Lonchura striata: one gene and its partner. The protein of the gene in region 2 purifies or fractionates together with the protein of the main gene of each other region. This does not show direct contact. Links are inferred from orthologs where the notes say so. Each region holds a gene or a part of one and is shown on either strand. Other genes may lie near its edges.

Region 1 (10,103 bases), on a different chromosome or scaffold from region 2:
ACTCCGTTGTTGCCGGCTCCAAGCTGGACGCTGGGGTGATGATCCACACAGACCTCGTGGGTGCCCAGGGAGGTGCTGCCCCAGCTTGGAGCAGGACAGGAGTCTCTGCTTGCTCCAGATGCCTCCTTTTCTCTGGGGCCTGCAGGAACTGAGGAGGCTCTGTGGAACGCTGCTCCTGAGCTCAGGCTATCCCTGCTCACCAGGATTGGGTCACTGCTGAAGCCAAGGCTACCGGAGAGGGTGGAACAGGGGTTGCCGGGCTCCTGAGAGCTCGGGCATTTGCCAGCCACCTCTGGGCTGCCCCGAGGCATGGACATGAGGACGCCTGGCTTGTTGAGCTCCTCTTCCCTCTCCTCATCACTGTGAGGTGCCCAGATGCTCGTGGCAGAGCTCCCCCGGGAAGCTGATCTCCCAGCCATGCCTTCGGAACTGCCTACCACAGCTGTGCCCAGGACAGGGTTTGCTGAGGCCGGGAGCACCTTTAGGAAACAAGGAGAGGGGCTGGGTGTCAAAGGAAGCATCCAATGGCCTGGTTTTGGGCACACAGGTCCCACACAAACCCACTTCAACACAGTCCCACATCTGCACTAACGTTGGGTCACAGGTAACAGGGAGGTGAAGGAGAGAGGCATGCAGGAAGGAAGGGGAGCCAAGCAATGAGGAGAGCAGTGGAAAACAGCACCTGGAAGCAAGAAAACTGACTGGCAAGGTAAGGTGGGGAAATAAGGAGTCAAAGCCCAACAGAGTTTAGCTCTCTTCTCCCATGCTCCACCATACAGCGTGTGGATGGTAATGTGAACACAGCAGAGGGGAAAAAAAATCCTGGAATAAACTCATCACCAGCTCACAGTGTGACACTGCAACAGAAAGTCTCCTAATCACAGGGAGTGCACAAGGACATGAACGAAATCCAAGTGGCAAGAGAAAAGGTCACTTACTTTCTCCTTCGTTGGCACAGAGGGGGTGCTGCTGGCTGCATTCCCAATGGGCAGCTTCTTCTCTTGCGTAAGAGACTTCACCGAGGTGTCACGGGATGGGAAAGTGTCTCTGGGCACAGGGGTAGCACCCAGGGTAGTTCTTTCCATTGAAGCACCTGTCAGGGAGAAAATAAAGCATTTTGTGTTAACCAGGGGGCCTAAAAGGTGAGATTTGCTCTTCCTCGGGCAAACTGCGACAGGACAGTCCCCAAGCTGAGGGGGTGGCACAGGGAGCAGGACCCAGTGCCCTGACTCTGGCTCTGCTGCGGCACCTGAGCTTTCCCTGCAGCTGCAGGTAACTCATGCAGGGTGGGCTGCAGGGCTGGAGAGCACCAAGGCAATCAGAGGCTTTTAAGGCTCCTGAAACTCCATGGCCACCCAGCCAGGAGGTGCTGACCCCACATGGCAGAGGGGAAAGGGCTGGGAGGGCTGGATGTCTTTTTTCCCCACTCCAAGACCCTGGAGTGGAGGTCAGGGCTTTATCCTGATTCTATGATGCCCACAGGTAGGAGATGCTAAAATTCCCCCACATTCAGGATACAAAGAGCTCTGAAAACTAGGGGAAGGGGAGAAGTTTAACACCCTAAAGCTGCTCTACTGACAAAACAAAATTAAAATGCAGATGGATGAAATGATTGTTCTGGGTTCCTTCCAAATTAAATATTCTATTCAATTTCTATTCTAACCATTTCCCCAGCACTGCCAAAGCCATCATTAACCCATATCCCCAAATGCCACATCCAAATGTCTTCTGAATCTCTCCAGGGATGCTGACCATCACTGGCCTGGACGGTTTTTTCCAGTGCTTGACAACCTCTTCAAAAAGAAATTTTCCCTACTATCCAATCTAAACCTCCCGCAAAACAATTTTCCTTTCATCCTGTTGATTGTTAGCTGGGAGCAGAGCCCAATCCCCACCCTGCTCCACCCTCCTTTCAGGGAGTTGTAGAGAGTGAGAAGGTCTCCCCCGAACCTCCTTTTCTCCAGAATGAGCTCTCAGAGCTGCTCTCCACCCTCCTTTCAGGGAGTTGTAGAGAGTGAGAAGGTCTCCCCCGAACCTCCTTTTCTCCAGAATGAGCTCTCAGAGCTGCTCCTCATCAGACTTATGCTCTAGAGCCCTCCCAGTCCCATTCCCATCTCTGGATGTGTTCCAGCATCCCAGTTTCTTGCAGTGAGGGGCTCTCAGCAGCACCTCCTGCTCCCTAGTGGCTGCCAGGTTCTGCCAGGAGGGAAACCCACCTCCACTCCCTGGGTGTTCTTGCAGCATCCCAACCCGCTTCTTCTCCACATCAAACTGCTCCTGTATGAGGAGGGGGCTGCGCACATCCACGAAGCTGCCCGTGGGCTCACCATGCCCAGAGCTTGGCACAGGCTGCTTTTTTGGCACCGAGTTTGGGGGCTGCTGCCCCACACCACGAGTGGCTCCCTCCAGCCTTGGTGGTGACTCTGTGAAGATATCCGAGCTCTCTTCGGGCTCATTCCTGGCCTGCCCAGGGCTCTGAGTGGCACCTGCATCCCTCGATGGAACAGACCTGCCCAGGGCCAGGCCCGGCGTGCCGCGGTGCAGGTGGTTTGCATTCCCAAAAAATCCGTTGTCCACACACACCGGCCGGCGGCTCAGCCAGTCCCGGCCCTGCTCTGGGGACACGGCCGGTGGCACGGCCACCCCTGATGTCCCCTCTGACACCGGCACGGTCCCGGAGGGGTGCGAGAGATTCCCCTCTCCACTGTGCCCGCCGCTCACTCCGCTGTGGACTTTGCTCTCAGGTGGAACCGGCCGGGGATTCTCTTGCTCCGGGAGTTTTTTGGGGAGCTGGAAGGAAATGGGTTGTGTTAAATCACTGGGATTGAGGGGGTTCACAGCGGTGTTCTAAAGCCTGAGCAGTGACCCCTGCAAGGCTGGTTATGAATGGGGTCTGGGGTCTCTCTTTGGGACCCACCCAAGGGTCTGGGGTTGTGGAGAGAAGCCTGGATTGGTGGCAAAGCAGAGCCTGCACTGCTCCCATGGAGGGAGACATGAGAGGGAGCAGTTACAGGGCCATATATCAGCAGTAAATTACCAGATGCAGCAGAGATCAGCAGCAAGCAGCTGCTCGGGGTGGCCCTAAAGGAGCCTGGCCCTACCACAGGTTCCCAAAACCCAATGAAAAGGTCTCAAAGGGATCTTGGTGTCCCCATCCAACATGTGCCCTGCTCACCGATTCCTGCACCGGCATTCTGGCCTCCAGCTCCGTACTTGTGGTGGTGCCAGCACTGGGAAGGACAGGTGGATGGTCACCAGTGGTCAGGTCTGGGCGTAGCCGCCCAGCCGAAGGGGCAGGATTTGGCCCCTGGGATGGTGTCTGGGCACTGATGGAGGAGGCAGTGGGACGGGCATCACTGGGAAGGGAGGAGGCAGCAGCAGGAGCTGAGGAACCTGGAAGAGACAGGCAGATCATTGTGGAAAAAACTGAGGAAGCAGAGGATAAGTGCGGGGCTGAGGCAGCCCTGTGTGTGTGTCCATGCTCTGTCCCCACATCAGCCAAGCCCACAGCACCCCTTTGTTATCTTTCCATCTTCCCTCAGGTGAGAACCCCAGCCCACCACCAACCCAAGCACCTTCAAATCATCCTCAGACATGTCACACAGTGAAGGACATCCCTGGGACAGTCACACACACCTCCAGCACCCTCGGAAGCTGAAGCAGGGACAGAGATGTCATGTCCCCACCTCCAGCAGCCCACGGGGCACACCCAGGAAGGATGAGGCTACATACGAGGTCGAGGTTGCCAGGTATCATAGACTTCCTGCAGCTCATCAGCCAAGTGCCCTGCGTTATTCTGGTGAAGTGCCTGGATGAGATCCTGCACCCAGCCCTTCCGGCACCTCAAGTGCTGATAGAATCTAAAGACAGCTGCCTGGTTGCCCCGCATCTCCTCCCGGGCAAGGAGTTCATCCTAGGAAAAACACACAGGGTATCTAAGAGAGGGTCTGGCTTAGAGGTAAGATAACTCTATGCTGCCATGGGGGAAGGAGCCTGGCAGAGCTCAGGAAAATAGGAAATTACTCTGTCAGAATCGACCAGGCAGGTCAGGGAATCGGCCAGCGACGCCACTCGGATAGTGCTGAATTTCTTGAGGTTTCTCGTAATGTGGGTGTACACTTTGTCCTCAGCCAAACCCATCGTGGCTCAGCACCTGCAGGGGGACAGAGACCTCGGGTGAGCAGAGGCTGCTGGCGAGCCTCAGTGCCCTGGCACAAACACTGCCATGATGAGACGGGAAATCCTGTCGGAAACCACGCGCACAAAGTTCGCTCGGCTTTAAGTTCAACGCTCAGCTTCACTTCCACACACACCTCGCTCCTTCCCACCATAAACGCCGTGTTTATTCCCACTCTGCTTGTTTGGATTCACCCGGCGGGTTGGGCGTCACGACAAAGGAAAAACAGGCGACACGGCCAAGACAAGCGCCAGGGGCCATGGCTGGAATCCCGCATAAGCAATGTAAAAACCAAAGGGGAAGGCACAGAGCTCCTTCCACAGGGAACAGCGGCCCGCAGGCGCGCCCACACCAGGAGGGCCCCGCCGCCCTCAGCGCGACCTTCAACCCCCGGGGGATCTCCGGGAGGTTCTCCGCTCGCAGATCCCCCTGTCAGGGCGGCCGGGGGTGGCTGCCGGGGCTGTGGCGGCCGTGGGGGCCGGTGCGGTCCCGCCATCCCCCCCCGCCGCCCTCACGGCCCCTCAGGGCCCCTCACCTGCGCCCGCCGCCGCCGCGCGCCCGCCGCCGCCACGGCCCCGCCCCCTCGCGTCGCGGCCGCCGCTGATTGGCTGCGGCGCACGCCCGTCACCGTGATTGACAGGGCGTGGGGACACGTCAGGGGACTGCCCTTGTCTGCCCTGAGGGGTTCTGACCCCCAGGGGAGCTCTGACTGTGACCCTCATTCGTGGAGAAAACTTCCAAAGCCTCAAGGTAAACTAGAAACCACCAAAGTGTGAAGTAGATTGTAGAGGGTAATTTAGTATGTCACATGGGTGAGGAATTTAGGTGTTAGGATTTTTAGTGTGTTATAGATGGGTTCAAGATGGAGGATATAGGGTGTTGTCTCGAATTCCTCTCCTCTCTTCTTCCTCTTCCTTCTTGGGTTTAGGTGGTATCTTGTAATGGGGTAGAAAAATCCACATTGCGGGTCTTTAGGGGTCAGTTATTGGGTTAGAAAGGAAAATAATTTAGGTGTCACTTCTTAATTGGGCAGCTTTTGATTAGACGAGGTTGTTGGCCATTTTTGTGCTGTTTTCCAGCATGCAAGGTCTGGTGCAGACAGCGTGCTGAAGTTTTGATCAGGTAACAATAAACAGAAGATGAAGACGGAAAAAGTCCTGTGTGTCTGCTTTTGCTGACACAGAACTGCTCCAGGGAGTTGCCCAATTTGGGACCCCAAACCCACAACAGGAGCATGGACAGGTTCCCAGTCCCTCGGGACAGCGGGAGCGGAGATCCCGGAGCGTGGCCAGCCTGGGGACACTGTCCCCCTCTGCCAGGGGACACTGTGGCAGCAGGGCCTGCTGAGTCCGGAGAAGAGGAGACTCCAAAGCCATCTCACCAATCCATAAAAACATCTCCAAGCAAAGGTCACAGGATGGTGCCAGACTCTTTCCCGTGATGCCCAGCGACTGGACAAGGAATAATACAAAGATGTCTGAAAACTAGGGGAACGGGAGAAGTTTCACACCCCAAAGCTGCTCCACTGACAAAACAAAATTAAAATGAAGATGGATGATTCCATTCTCTTCCATTCTATTCTATTCTATTCTATTCTATTCTATTCTATTCTATTCTATTCTATTCTATTCTATTCCATTCCATTCCATTCCATTCCATTCCATTCCATTCCATTCCATTCCATTCCATTCTAACCATTCCCCCAGCACTGCCAAGGCCATTATTAACACATATCCCCAAATGCCACATCCAAATGGCTTCTAAATCTCTCCAGGGATGCTGACCATCACTGGCCTGGACAGCTTTTTCCAGTGCTTGAAAACCCCTTCCAAAAAGAAATTTTCCCTACAATCCAATCTAAACCTTCCATGAAACAATTTTCCCTTCATCCTGTTGTTTGTTACCTGGGGGCAGAGCCCCAGGTAGCTTCACCTCAATGTGACAAAGAACTTCTTTATGTTTTGGGTAGCAGAGCACTGGAATAACTGCCCGGGCAGGCCATGGAGTCTCCCTCTCTGGAGACCTTCCAAACCCACCTGGACACATTCCTGTGTCACCTGCTCCAGGTGACACTGCCTTGACAGGGGGTTGGACTGGATGATCTCCAGACGTCCCTTTGAACCTCAGTTTTCTGTGATTCTGGGAGCTGGAATATGGTCCTTCATGTGAGCAGTGGCACAGTTTATCCAGAAAATCCTCATCCCTGGAAGTGTCCAAGGCCACAGGTGATGGGGCTTGGAGCAACCTGGGATAGCGGAAAGTTGTCCCGGCCCATGGTAGGGTGTGGAACGAGATGGTCTTTAAGGTCCCTTCCCACCCAAACCATTCTGTGATTATAATTAATTGAATCCAGCTTTTCTCATTCTAAGTCATAAAAATCGATCATATTTCTGGGTTGTTTCTATAATTAAGAAGAGATCAGTATAATGATAAAATTTACCACATGAAAAAAAAGCCACTCAGTAATTCGTGTTCACAGAGTTGCAGAATTGTACAATCATAATCATAGAATCGCAGAATGGTACAATCATAATCATAGAATCGCAGAATGTTAAAGGTTTGGAAGTGACTTTAATCATCCCAAGCTGAGTGCCATGGGTACAGACAACCCCCATTAGACCAGGTTGCTCAAGGCCTTATCCCACCTGGGTTTAAAAATTTGCAGCCTTGGGGCAACCACAAATTCTCTGGGCAACCTGTTCCTGTTCTCGCCGCGGTCACAGCAATATTAGTGGATATAATAATATCCAATATAAATAATATAAATTCCTCCTGTTTCAACTCGTACACGTTACTCCTTGTTCTGTCTCCGCACCTCCTTCCTAAGAGTCTCTCTCCGTCATTCCCGTAGTATCCCACCAAAGCTTTTCCTTTGTCATTAATTCCCTAATGAACAGTCAATAGTTAATTAATTTCCCACTCCGGAATTTTGGGAAGCGGAATCGGGAGCTGAAGAGCGGAGGAGCGGGGGCGAAGGCGCAGCGCCGCCTCCGCGCCACCAGGGGGCGGCACCACCCCGCGCCCGGGGCCCGCCTGGCCACGCCCATGGCCACGCCCCGGCCACGCCCCCGGCCCGGAGCCGCGCGATGGCGGCGGCAGCGGGCGGGCGGCGGCGGCGGCGCCGCTGAGCGCCGGGAGAGCCCCGAGGGGCGGCGGGGGCTTCCCGCACCCCTTCCCCTTCCCTCATATCCCCCTCCCCTTCTCCCCCGGCCCCCCCCACCCCGCGCCCTCCCCGCGCGGCGCCGTCCATGGTGACGGGCGGCCGAGGCGGCCTCGCAGCGGAGCCGTTCGGGCGGGAGGCGGCGAGGGAGCGGCGGGCGCAGGTGAGCGGGGACGGGGTCGCGGGGAGCGCCGGGGGGGCGCACCGGGTTGTTGTGGGGGCCCGGGGGTGGCGGAAGGGGCGGGGGGCGCGACCCACGCGCGTCCGTGGAGGTGGGTCGCCCCCACCCTGCCCACGCTGAAGTGGGGGGTTAGCGTCTGTATTTTTGGGGGTGTATCTGGCAGGGAGAATGGTGATTTCTACGAGTGATCGCGGGCTGGGGCTCTTGGGTTTGCTGCCTTGGAGCGAGTCCAGACGAGGCCACCAAGTTGATGGGAGGGATGCAGCACCTCTCCGGCGAGGAAAGGCTGGGAGAATTGGGATTGTCCAGCCTGGAGGAGAGAGGGGTCCGGGGACACCTAATGGGGGCCTCTCAGTAGTCGAAGGGAGCCCGCAAGAAAAATGGAGAGAGACTTTTTACAAGAGTCTGGGGTGACAGGATAAGAGGGAATAGCTGCACACTGAAAGAGAGTATGGTTAGATTAGATATTAGGAAGAAATTCTTCCCTAGGCAAGTGGTGAGGCCCTGGCACAGGTTGCTCAGAGAAGCTGTGGCTGCCACTGGATCCCTGGAAGTGTTTAATGCCAGGTTGGATGGGGCTCTGAGCAACCTGAGCTAGTGGAAGGTGTCCCTGCCCGCGGCAGGGGATGGAACAAGATGAGCTTTAAGGTCCCTTCCCACCCAAACCATTCCATGATTCTGTGAACTTGCACCTGTGGGTCTGCAGTGACCCACGGGGTTGGGTACGGAAGTCCAAGCTGAGGACACCCATCCAAGACCCAAAAAACATCTGCAGGGCAGGGCCACCATGGCCACCATCTCCTGCCACCACCCACCACCACCCTGCTGCAGGATGGCCAGGCTCCCTGGACACCTCCACTCAGGACTCTGGGGCTTCTACTCCTGACCCACGGTCAGACCATGTCCCCCTTGGCAAATCCAGGCCATGCCAGTGGCCAAAAGCTTCTTTTGGGACCGATATTCCAGCTTGGGGGCTTGTGTCCTGGCTGCCCCCTGGGCCATCCCTCTCAGAGATGCTCCAGGCTGTAGCACTGGAAGGGACACCATCTTTGCTGTGGGGTCTGAGGGTTCTGTCCTTCCTTCAGAGCTCTGTCCCCTTCTCCCTGGCTCTTTCTGCTCCTCAAAGGGTGTGTCCCCTCCTCGCATCCCAAACGGGAATCCCAAACGGGAATGTCAGTGCTGCCCCTCTCCAAGCTCTCCCACGCTCGGCTAGCTGCATCCTCCCTCCTCGGCCAGCACTTGCTTGTTTCTGATCTTGGATGTCATCGAGGGTGGAAAATGTGACAGGAAGGAAGGGAGGCTTTTTTTCCTCTCCTGCTAAATATGGACTGACATTAAAAATCCAAATACTGTCGCGAAAGGAATCCCAAACTCTGTTTGTCGAGGGAGAGAAAACGATGGTTTCTGCCTTTTCGGTTCCAGCTGGGAAGTTTCGCAAGGAGTGGTGGAGTCCTTGCCGGGAGCCTCAGGAATTTACTGAGCTTGTTCACAGGACGCTCTCCCAGCGTCTTATGCTAAAAAAAAATTAGTCATCCCTTCTCTGCCTGCTCGTGGCTGGGGGGAGCTTGCTGTGAGCATGCAGGATGCTTGGAAATATTTAAGGATTTCTTCCTCCTGTACAAGGAGTTCTAGAAACGACAGGAAATAAAACTGCGGCCCCAACAGGAGTTTTTCATCTTTATTTTAATTCCTGTTGCTGCAGCAGCCAGTGGCAGGGAGGGGAAGGATGTGCTCAGGGGTGGGGGCTGCAGCCAGGTTTGCAGAGAGGATTTGTCTGTGTCTGTCAAGCATCAGATGCAAACTCACGCTGTTATTGCCAGAGAAATTGGGAAACAGGCTTGGTGTGGAGCTCTGGGGGGAGAAATGGGATCACAGGGATGATCATGGCACTGCCAGCTCTCTGATGGCTTCTGCTGTGGCTGGGTGAAGAGCCAGGATGCTTTTTGGGGAACAGGGACCACAGCTCCCCTAGGCCCTGGGGGTGCTGGGGAGACAGAGACTCAGTTTTTGTGCTGGGCAGAAAGTGGGCACTGCCACCTTCTCATTCCATGTGTTTCTTTTCATCCCTGTTGGAGAGTTTCTTGGGGGAGTGCCTGTGGGAAGCTCCAGGGTTTTTGCCTGATCTTTATTAAAGCAGTTGGTTAAAGCAACTGGTTGGTTACAGCTGGCTGAAGGTGGTGGAGTCATCGTCCCTGGAGGTGTTGAAGGAATGTGGCACTCAGTGCTCTGCTCTGGTGGCAAGGTGGGGATTGGTCACAGCTTGGACTTGTGAGGTGATGATCTTGGAAGTCTTTTCCAACCTAAATGACTCTGGGATTCTGTGAAAGCAGTGGAGGATCCTGGGGGGTGCTGGAATAGATATTTCCCATTTCCAGGCTGCTGGTGCTGCTGTGTTGTTCCCAGACTAAGGAGACACAGCCCTGCCTTCTTGAAACATCCCTCACTAATAACTGCATCTCTGTGCTGCTCCGTGACACTGCTCCATGTCCAACATCAATATCCCCGTGGAGGAGCAGCTTGAATTCTCCCTCTCCCTGTCTCCTCCTGCTGCCAGCCTACATCTGTTCTGCTCCAAGCCTCTGTGT
Region 2 (10,929 bases):
TCACAGAAGTTAGGAAGCCTGGTTAAAGATTAGACCAAATACATTACCATTTTACGAACATTTTTGTATATTGATCAACACATTTCTTATGTAGTCTCTGAAATTATATACTTACAGCAGTAGGAAATACACATGTACATATAGAAGGCACATACACTTGTAGACACAAGCCTTATTAAGAGAAATTAGAGTGATCCACAGATCACTTAATTCAGGCTCTGACAAGCCAAATTAAAAAAAAAAACAACTTTAAAGATGAGGAATCCTTATACAGAACAAACTTGCTCCATCTATCTGTTCTGCAAATAAATGAAAAGAGCAGCACTGACAGAGCAAAAACCTCAGGGTATCAGAAAAGTAGAAGAGGAGTGTTCAGAACAACAAGTCTTAATACATTCAAATGTTTATGAAGACAGCAGTGAATAAAATAAAAATCTGGATAGTTGAGCATTCTAACTGTTAAGCAAGACTAGTGATTATTAATACATAATTAAACATTAGCTAGCACTGGTGACTGGGGAGGCACTAAGCATGGATACTGACCAAAAGCATGTTAAAAATAAACACAACCCACTCTTCTGTGTCTCAGTCCATCTCTTCAGCTTGCCCAACATTGAGCCTTCCTTCACTTTTTCCATTGAATGAGGCAAAGCTAAAAAGGGTAGTAAGTTATGAATGACTTGCTCAGGCAAAAGTTCCATACTAATCACATGAAACTGAAGGTATCAAAGAGCCTATTTTATTTTTCTAAAAATTAACATGCTTCCAGTCACAAGTTTTATATTCATGATGGATATTTTGCTGCAAATGGCTATTTGATTAATTACTTAATAAATCAGAAGCAGATTGCAGACCTGTCTTTTTCTGTTTCAATATCACTTTAATCTTTTACCTGATCTTTCTTTTCCTTAGTAATAAACTTCAAAAAGATTACTAGGTACCCAGCTAATACTTAGAAGGAAAAATATGAGTAAAGGCTACCACTGAAAGAAAAATTGACCTATAAAAAAATGGAAAACTGAGAACATGAAAATTTTATACTGGCTGATAGCAACACACTCCTCTTGAAAGCTCCAGCTTCTGTATCATGGGCTACCAAATCTAGAACCCGAGACCTGCACATTTCAGGTAAAGGTCACCTAATTTCCACTTCCTGATTAGAAACAAAGTTCCACACAATCAAATTGGAACAATCCACCTGAAGAGACTTTTCTTGCTGAGCAACAACACCATTTGAGTCTGAGCTCCAGCTTCAGAACCAATGATGTAAATACAAACATGACAGGAGTTCTGTGCCTGACTGAAACAATAGGCCTCTCCCAGCAGCAGAGTTGAGAATAGCTCAGGCGGGTGGGTGGAAGGCAGAAACTATCCGTTCCTAAACAGGAGGAGTAAAATAAAACTTTTTTTTAATAACAGCAACGTGCTGCCAAGTTTGAAAAACTATTTGAATAACCAGCACAACAAGATGTGGTATCATGTTTCCTCAGAGGGGAGAAAAAAACCCTGCTGTGCTTTGGTATAGTAAAAGCAGAAATTCCAGGCATAACTTGAGAGCTGGTCTTTTGAAACAGGGCCTTGGCTTCTTCAAAACACTCTTTTCCAGTTTGCTGCAATACTTTCATTTCTATTATGTGTAATTTGCAATTCTCATGAAGAAAAATTATCAATCCTTCAGCTCCAGCAACTCTGCACTACAGTGTAACCTAAATGTCATCAACTTAGAGACTCTAATTGACCAAGTCTCTGTTGCTTTAGTCTTCAGAGAGAAGACTCTCACCAAAATGTGCACACAGATTTAGCTCAGCTAACAGTACAACCAAGCCAAAGAAGGACTGCCTACAGTCTTTAAAAATACTCAAGTTATGAGACAGTAAAACTAAATTTCCAGAATACTCCCAAGCTAGACTATAATCATGACTTGTCTACGTCCTCTTCTGAGGAAAGCACTCACTTCAAAATGCTTCTGCAGCTGGGCAAAGTACAGTTACAGTAAGGAGCTGTGGCCAACACTCCTCTGGGTTATGCACACACCTTCACTTTCCTCAGCTGTGAGGGCACAAAGAAGTTCCTGCAATTACATGTAAGTACAGTAGAATGATAAAAACTAGAACATTACACAAACATAAGCGGACACCCAAAGAGAAAAGCTTAAAAATAAACTCCCAGAAGCTTAATTGTTTCCATGTGCAAGGGCTTTTTCTGTTACTCTCACCCTGCAGACTCTTTTCCTTGCTTTTAAGAAGAAATCAAATTGGTTTTACTGCTTGAAAAGTACTTCACTATGGCTGAATATATTTATCACTTTGTTTAAACAGCTTAAACTCACAAAATATGTTTATTTAGACACTATAATTGACTGATACTGATAATGCTGCTGCCAAGCATCTCTTTCACATGTTGTAAAATAGAAGGAAATTACTTTGTAAATCTCTCATGAAACATTTTTCAAGCAGTCTATGACAAGCTCTCTTAAAAAAAAATTATAAATTTAATCTCCTCAAGACAAACACTATGCTACTTTACTGCCTTTCTTCCTATTACCTTATGCTGTAGTTTTCCCCAAACCATTTTGAAACTTTAAAACAAAGAAATAAGGTAATTCATGTTTCAGGTCTGTGTCACAACACAAGAAATATAACTTTAAGAAGGGAGAGAAAACTGATGGAAGAAAAAGAGGTGATGCTGCTTAATTAATAAATTAATATAAATAATCTCCTCTCAATTTCTCTTAAGCCCCAAAATAACTTTAATCTGTAAGAAGCTTTTAAAGTTAGCACTCAGAAGTCTCAGTTATTTTCCATTCCAAAATTATCTTTCACATCTACTGTTGTTGTTTCAAAGACAAGAAAACTCACTTTGGGTCTGAATGCTACATATTATTCCAAAGATCATTTGGAGGTGAATGGATTCAGTATAGTGATTAAATGCCACCTAAATCACAACTAAGAATGCACACTAGTCACAGTCCAGACTTAAACAGCTGTAGTGAATAGCAAGGTAATTGTAATTAAATTACAACTGCTTTGGACTTTCACTTCAAGAAAACAGGAAAGAATTTACTGTTTTTTCCAACAATACATTTTTAAGCATTAAAAGATGAACCTTAGATGGCCTGTGATTCATGTTTCATTCTTAAACACCTGTGCCTTTTCTCAGGTAAATACAAGCAATTGCTGAATCTACTGTCACTCCCTCAGCAGAGAATGCCTTCTTTCAAATACCAGTCCAAATGTCTCTCCACTTCTCTTTGGAAAGGTTGACAGGCAGGGTAACAGAGACTAAACAAAACATTGAGAAACTCATGGCAATAAGCAGCCATATATTGGGAAAAGACAGTCTAAAATATCCCGGTTTCTGACTTCTTCAATTCTAACTAGGCTATAAAGGTAAGTTTTGCCAGGGATATTTCCTGAAGCATCAAGGGATAAGGCTGCCACAACACAGGTATCCCAAAAGCTACACCTGCCCCTTTCTCTGCATCACACACAGATCAGAAGGTCTTCTGACAATTTAACATCACAAATTATAGCAATTAAAACAAGCTGAATTCTCTAATATTAGAGCAAATTAGAGAAATCCATCCTCGAACACCTTTGTCTGCTTTTATCTCGACAGCATTGGCACACAAGGTCAAAGATAACCGGCGTGGCAGCGGAAGAGTTAACAGCCAGAACTTGTCCGCGTTTCCAAAATAGAGCGGTGGCACTAACGTTGCCATTCTGCCGTGTTTACAAGAGGGAACACAGTTCGGGATAAACCTCTGGCTGTAGTCACGCTTTATCGCCAGGACACATTCCTCCAATGTCCGGCTTACCCGGCCGAGATAAAGACACGGAACGCCCGGACACCTGGAAGAAGCCCCGCGACAGGGGGGACGCACACCGGGGAAGGAGGCTGTGCTGGAAGAGCTGCGGAAAGCACAGCCCTGAACGGAGCGAGCCTCCGGAAAGGATTCGGAACTGGAGGCACCGGGGTGCGGGCAGGTGCCCCCGGCAGCCGCGGCCGGGCGGTGGGGCAGACAGCGCGGGGGTCCCGGCAGGGCGCTGCGCCGCCCCGCGCCGGGCGCTGCCCCGCGGGGCCCGGGCACAGAGCGGCGGGTCCGCCCTCAGCGAGCCCCTCCCGGGCCGAGCGGCCCCTCCGGATCCGGGCCCGACCGCGGTGTCCCCGCGTCCCCCGTGTCTCCCCGCCGCGTCCCGTCACCAGCGCTACCCCCGTGCCTCCACCTCCCGGCCCCGCTCCGCTCACCGGCCGCGGCTCCCCCGTCCCTCAGGTCCAAGATGGCAGCGCGGCCCGCCCGGCCTCCGGCAGCGACTTAGCAAAGTCGGGCGCGATGTGCGCAGGCGCCGAGTCCCCCGGCTGCTGCGCAAGGACTACAACTCCCACCGTGCCCTGCGCCATGCATTGCGCATGCTCGGCGCGGGCCACAGGGAGTGACCGGCAGGGACCGTGAGGGACAATGAGAGGCCGTGAAATTCACGGCGACGAGTAGAATTCCATATCCTCTGGAGCCAGCCTGGGAGGGCTGGAGGTGTTCATCCGGGGAAGAGAAAGCTCCAGGGAAAACTCAGAGCGCCTTCTGAGTGCCGGAAGGGGCTTCGAGGGAGCTGGAGAGGGATTTTGAATAAGGGGAGTGACAGGACAAGGGACAATGGCTTCTGTTATAAATGAGAATTTATTCAGCCAGATTAAAAATAAAAATCATTTTATTTGCGGTCAAATTCTATTTAGTCAGCCACACGGAAAGGACAGAGCCGAGCCCGGGATCGACCCTGGATGTGCAACAAGGAGTCAGCCTCAGCAGAGGTTTTCCCCTATGCCCACACACTTCCATCCTGGCACAGGCGGTTTTTATAGGGAAAATTCCACCTGAGGCCAAGATTTGAGCAGTTAGTCTTTTCTTCTATTCAGAGTCTATAGGTTTTCTTTTTTTTGGTGATGAGGAGAAATAATTCAATGTCCAGAGTAGTTGAATTCTTGATGAGAGTTTACGGGAAGGCTGCATTCACATGAATCTGTCTGAGGATTTCCATGATATCCATCTTGGACGATCAGCACTGATGATAGTGATGATCAACACCTGGAGCCCAGACATGGCCCATCTCCTGGCCGAGCCACATCCTTTTACTGGTAAATCAGTTTCCAATATACACCCAGTCTGGCCTGCAAAGGGGGGGCGGGGGGGAGCTAATACAACGGGCATGATTTAACAAATATCCAATATTACATATTTCATACGAGGAATGGTGCGAATTATATTTATTACACATAACAGCTTCCCACTGCCGAAGGTCAGGTTTAGATGGAATATTGAGAAGAAATTCTTCGCTGTGAGGATGCTGAAGTCCTGGCACAGGGTGCTCAGAGGAGCTGTGGCTGGAAGTGTCCAAGGCACTGTTGGACAGGGCTTGGAGCAGCCTTGGACAGTGGAAGGTGTCCCTGCCCATGGCAGGGGTGGAAGATCCGGTGCCTCCAGTTCCGAATCCTTTCTGGAGGATCGCCCAAATCATTCCATGAATCTATGATTCCGTAAACAGAGTGTATATGTATGTGTGTGTATATTTTACTACAGTAAAAATCTTGGATAATCAAAGCACCCCTGAGGGCTTGGCTGGTACAGGAACACCTTGAGGAACCCATGGCCATCACTGGCCCTACGTTTCTGCAGTGACACCAGTAATGGGAAATCTCTGAGACCACAAAGGGACATCCTGCAAGCATGAGTCTATAACAGTCAAGCAACTGGGACATCACTGCTGTCACTGTGGGCATTGGGACACAAAACAAAGCCCTTTGAAAATAAAGTAACATTTGTGATTTTAAAGTGTCTGCTTCAGGTGCTTAAACCATTGATATTATTTAGCCTTACATAAAATCCTTCTTGTTTCAAGTGTATTTTTTCTTAGCCTGAACGCACTATTGCATAAGTGAATGCATAGAAATTACAATACACTTCCTCTTTTGACAGTGAGGAATGAGAGAGTCTATGTTCTGAAATCAGAGGAAAGAATATCCAGTCTTCAGAGAGTAGGAGAATATCCTCAATAATTCTTCAGAAAAATTATGCACTTTGCCAGTGCAAAGTTTAGCATTTTCTTAAAACTGGTAGGATGTGAAAATCCATCTTGTCTTCCACACATAAACTCCAATAATATCTCACAGCCACAATTAAGTGACTGCTTCTGTTGATAAGGCCTAAGCACAAAAACGTCTCGAACTGTTTCCCTGACAGACCAACACGTGTTTTGATGCCAATCAGCCATCTATGGTTCTGACTGGCCAAGGTACATGTGCACATCACTTCAGGCACAGAAATCACTTTAATTCCAGCACAGAACAATGTGTGCTGCTCAGCTAGAGGCTGAGTATGGAAAAATCAGGAGCATTGCGGCTTTGTCAGAGGTGGGAATTCATGGGAAGCAAGTTTGGAGCCAAGGTTACAGCCCAGTATAATGATAAGCAAATTGATCAGCTGAAATAAGGACTAGATTTTTGTATTTTCTCTAAACCTTTTCTATGCATCTTTAAGTCTCTATGTTCCTTTAGAGATATTTGACCATGTAGACATACATTTAAAGTTCCATAGTTAATGTTCTGTTCAAATTAATAATGATAAAAATGAGTTCTAAAAGCCTTGCTTAACAGAGATTTCTGTCTCATGCATCACCTACATAAACAGTGGTCTCTCATCCAGTTCCTGTCCTGGCCAGTGACACTCTGGCTGACTGCAGCTGGAGTTCCAAAGCTGGGCATCCTTTGTGGTGGGTTTGTTGTCTCCCAGCTGGCACATAACTCTGGTTTTGCAGATTGCCTGTGGTTTGATTCCCAATGGTGGGACCATTGCACTGTACCTTTCTCTCCAGCCGCCTGGGTTAATTTTTCCTTTAGCAGAATTGAGTGTTTGCAGGAAGAAGCCGGATGCTGCCCCAAGGACACATCCCTGTAGCCCCTGTAGGATCCAGCAGGGGTGCATGTACCCATCCCCAGGGCAGTGTGACCATTTGCAGTTTCTTTTTGTTGTACTTGGTTTTGGTAGGTGAAGGTTGCTAAAGCAGGTATGAATAACACTCAGTGTCTGTTTTTAAGAACATCACATCAGTTGTCCTCTGAGTTACTATCTTCCCCCTCCTTTTCCAACTGGCATTTCAGATAAAGTTCTTTTTTTCAACCTCGGCAGCCCTACTCTCTTTGTTTTCCAGCTTCTGATGCCCCCAGTTAAGTTCCATTTGTTCCATCTGCTCTGTAAAATTCATGAGAAAAAGACTGTATTCCAGATGCAGACTACTGATCAGTTTGTGCTTTCCAGGACAAGAGGAATGCAGAGCAATTGTCACATTCACACTGTTTCAGATATCATTTGCCTGAGTAAAAATCATGGCCTGTGAATCAGTGAACTGGAAGACCAAATAAATAATTACCACAGAATACGTGGTGAATGAAGATGAATATAATTGGGTGGCAGAAAAACTATGTATCCAAGATTTACCTTTGGGGAGAAGAGTATAATGCTTCATTATTGTCTTTTTTCCCCCTATGCTTTTTATAACTACAAGATACTCAGGCAGGATGGAATTTTCTTGCTATTACTGTCATAGCTTTCTTTTGACAAGTACAAACCCCAACAGATAGGGAACCTTCCTGGAGGATGATCTTGTGCAAAGGCTTGTCAGGAAAACTGAATGCTTAGTAGCTTTCCACACTTGCTGGGTTTGATATGGTGAAGCTGTGCTTCTGGGAGATAATTTCTGAGAAATAATATTTAATAATTTTCATAATATTTTTCTTTTATTTCTCAGTCCAGTCCAGACTGGTCAATGGGATTTGTACTTGTGGCAAAATATGTGTAGTGTTTATTCTTTGTTGGGCTATTGTAAATAATAATATTCACATCTCTAATGGAAACTTACCCTGTTGTAAGAGAACTGCCACACTCACTGAGTGCTGTTCGTGCTGAGAGCTGACTGGGAAGCCACTGAGGATAAGGGTCTGTGTGGCAGAGTGGTGTAAATGATTTCCATGTTTGAACCTTTTGTGTAATAATAAAAATAAAATTGTGTAATAATTGTGTAATAATAAAAATAATTTGTGTAATAATAAAAATAAAAAATGCAAGATCATTAAAATATTGGGATTCTGTTTGATTTTTGAGCAGAAGTCTAAATGGACATTGCTTTCTGATACCTGTGGGCCTTAGGTTCCTTCAGCTAAAGGGCTGGGACAAGGCTGTGTAACAGAAGCACTGAACATTCTTATTATTCTCCTATCCCTAGAGTACAGGATTCCCTCTCCTAAAACAGACCCCACCTTCATTCCCTTTGTTTTCCACTCAGCCAACTCTATTGACCTCACACAAGACAAACCTCTTCTTTCCAATGTTACATATTTTCCTAAGGGTTGCACAGCAAGTCTCTTGTCAAACTTGGAAACAGGGCTGGGTTTCTTAGCTCCTTTACAAATGTTTAATGATTTTTTAGTTAAGTGGTATGAGGGTTTTTGTTGTTGTTGTTTTGGTTTGGTTTGGTTTTTGTGTGAGGCACACAAAAATCCTGACAGAATCACTTAAATACAAAATAATTCAGGTAGGAAGGAAGCTTTGGAGGCCTCTAGATCCATCCCATGCTTGAACCAGAACCAACTTAGATAATGCAGAATAGGTCAGAGATAAATACCTTCAAGGCTGGAGATCGCACAGCCCCTTTGTGCCCTAGTCCAGTGTATGATGCCCCTTAGTCCATTTTATTTCCTTATATTTGTGATTTCACAGCTCTGCAAAGAGTATAGCTTATCCTCCTCACACCTTCCCAGCAGGCAGTTTTAGGCAGCTGTAAAGCATCCCTTTGCCTTCTCTTCTCCAGGCTGAACAAATTCAGCTCTCTCAGCAGCTGCTCATGGGTGAAAAGTGCATATTATATGATTGGCTCATTGCAAAGGAATACTATATGTGTTATGTTGTATTAATTACTGTGTTAACCTTTTTTAAATAGTGCGGTAGATATAGTTTTAGGTTATAAAATAATGTTAAAATAGAAGCTTTGTGATGTAAGATTTTTTTTTAACTAGCTCAAGAAAGGGATGAGATAATCAAGAAATTATTTGCACAGAGATAACAGCAACAAGACACCTAAAGAGTTACTGCCTCCTTATCAGAAAAGACAAACATTCCTCCACCTCCTCTTCTGCTTTAAGCTTTAAGGAGCCATCAGGATTAAGGGGAAGAAGTTGATAATAATCAGAGAATACCTTTTGTTTGAAAAGAATTTATGCATCATGTATGAATATATGAATATGCAACAGGCTACTGCTTTTAAGGGTTAATCCTTTGTTAGCATGTGTACTTTCAGGGCTAAATTGCCCTAGGAAGGCACCTGGATTGTCCATATTTCTTTGGTTTTTATTGTCCTAACTCTGATTGTCCAAATTCTTATTATTTTTATAGCCATTTTATTACTATTAAACTTTAAAATTTTAAAACAAGTGATTGGCATTTTTCACATCATGTGTCCTGTGCTCCATGCCTGATAGCTTGGTGGTCTCCTCTGGCCTCTGGTTCATCAGCACCTATATAGGACAGGCACCAGGGAGCTTGGGCTGGTCCCAGCACCCACAGGTGAGTTTTTACCATTGCAGAGTAAAAGGTGAGGTTCCTCACCCTGCTGGCTGCACTCTTGGTGACAAGCCCTTCTGAATGTCCTTCTTTGTCACAGGCCGCTCAGTTGGGGTCCTACTCAACTTACTGGGAGCACAGCACCTCTTCCACCAAACCCCATGTCTTGCTGAATTTGAGTTACTCCCTCCTAGAACCAGAACTACCTTTGACCACCTTTATTTGTCTGCTGAATTTCCTAAGGGTTTTTCCCACCCTACTGTAGGACCTCAGTCCCTATTGCTGATTAACTTGGCAACATGAAGCTGGTCCCTTTACTGGGAAGACCAGAATGAGTATATCTCCATGGAGGCAGTTTTGCTAGTGTGGATGTTTGTTTACCTGTTTTTGGGATAGACACAGCCCCAAGCAAGTATCTCACAATGACTGTGGAACAGTCATCAGGTGTCATCAGCACCCATTAGTGCCTAAGCAATTGTCAGTCTTTTAACTATGGCTTAATGCTGCTGTCTGACTTAAGGCTGTGTAAAGCTGGTGATTTATAAATGCAGGAGTACTTTGTTTTCACATCATTTTTCTGTACTGGTGTTAAAAGCACTTTGTAAGTACCATAATGTCAATCTTGTTATTCTTCTGGAGCATTTTGTTAGTTGGGTAATTATTGCAGGAAGTGCTTTGTATTTTAAGATCTGACTTCTTGAAATTGTCACCCCTAGAAGGAGAAACTTTGTTCAGCTGCCTTGTAAGGAGAGTCTGAATTCATTTCACTCATGAAGATAATGGTGAAGTGTCAGAGTGTATCTATTTCTAATTGACTTTAAAATCAGAATTGATTAATTTGATTTAGGATTTAGAAAAATAGCAGTAGGAAAACATAGATTACTTCCTGTTATCTGCAGAGGGGAATAATGAACCCTTCAGGTTGGTGAGAAACTATTATTATTTCCAAGTAACCTAATTAAAGGGTATAAAAAAGAAATGTGGCTATTTAATTAAGTGTTTTATTACTGAATTGCTCTACAGTGCATAATCAGAGAAGTGGGAGGGAGTGATTAGGTGTCTTGAGAACGGAAATGACACAACCAAGATATGCAGATGTTTTAAAGGAAGGAGAAGCTACTGGGATAATTGAACCTATCTTACCCATGCAAAAGACTGAAGATTATTTTTCCCTGTGAGTGAAGAACATAACACTGTAAATGTGCTGCAGGGTTTTCAGAAGCAAACATGAGATGTTGGTGCTGGGAAAAGTAAGACACACCAGGTAGTGCTTAACTGGTGGCTCTGTCCAACTCTTGTCTCCACAAGGGCCTTGCAAGCAGGGT

The links.
Region 1: the proteins of ITCH (region 2) and MAVS purify together in Homo sapiens (affinity purification with western blotting; 3 studies listed by BioGRID). This does not show direct contact. The link is inferred for Lonchura striata from reciprocal best matches to the Homo sapiens genes ITCH and MAVS.

Annotation. Positions count from the first base shown.
Region 1 is NC_134606.1:3,103,593-3,113,695, reverse strand, and holds the start of MAVS (mitochondrial antiviral-signaling protein), read right to left. Parts: upstream 4,756-10,103; 5' UTR 4,713-4,755; intron 4,154-4,712; 5' UTR 4,141-4,153; coding exon 4,024-4,140; intron 3,914-4,023; coding exon 3,733-3,913; intron 3,394-3,732; coding exon 3,176-3,393; intron 2,791-3,175; coding exon 2,217-2,790; intron 1,094-2,216; coding exon 939-1,093; intron 480-938; coding exon 1-479.
Region 2 is NC_134619.1:13,572,124-13,583,052, forward strand, and holds the start of ITCH (E3 ubiquitin-protein ligase Itchy homolog), read right to left. Parts: upstream 4,346-10,929; 5' UTR 4,249-4,345; intron 1-4,248. UniProt on the Homo sapiens protein: Acts as an Acts as an E3 ubiquitin-protein ligase which accepts ubiquitin from an E2 ubiquitin-conjugating enzyme in the form of a thioester and then directly transfers the ubiquitin to targeted substrates.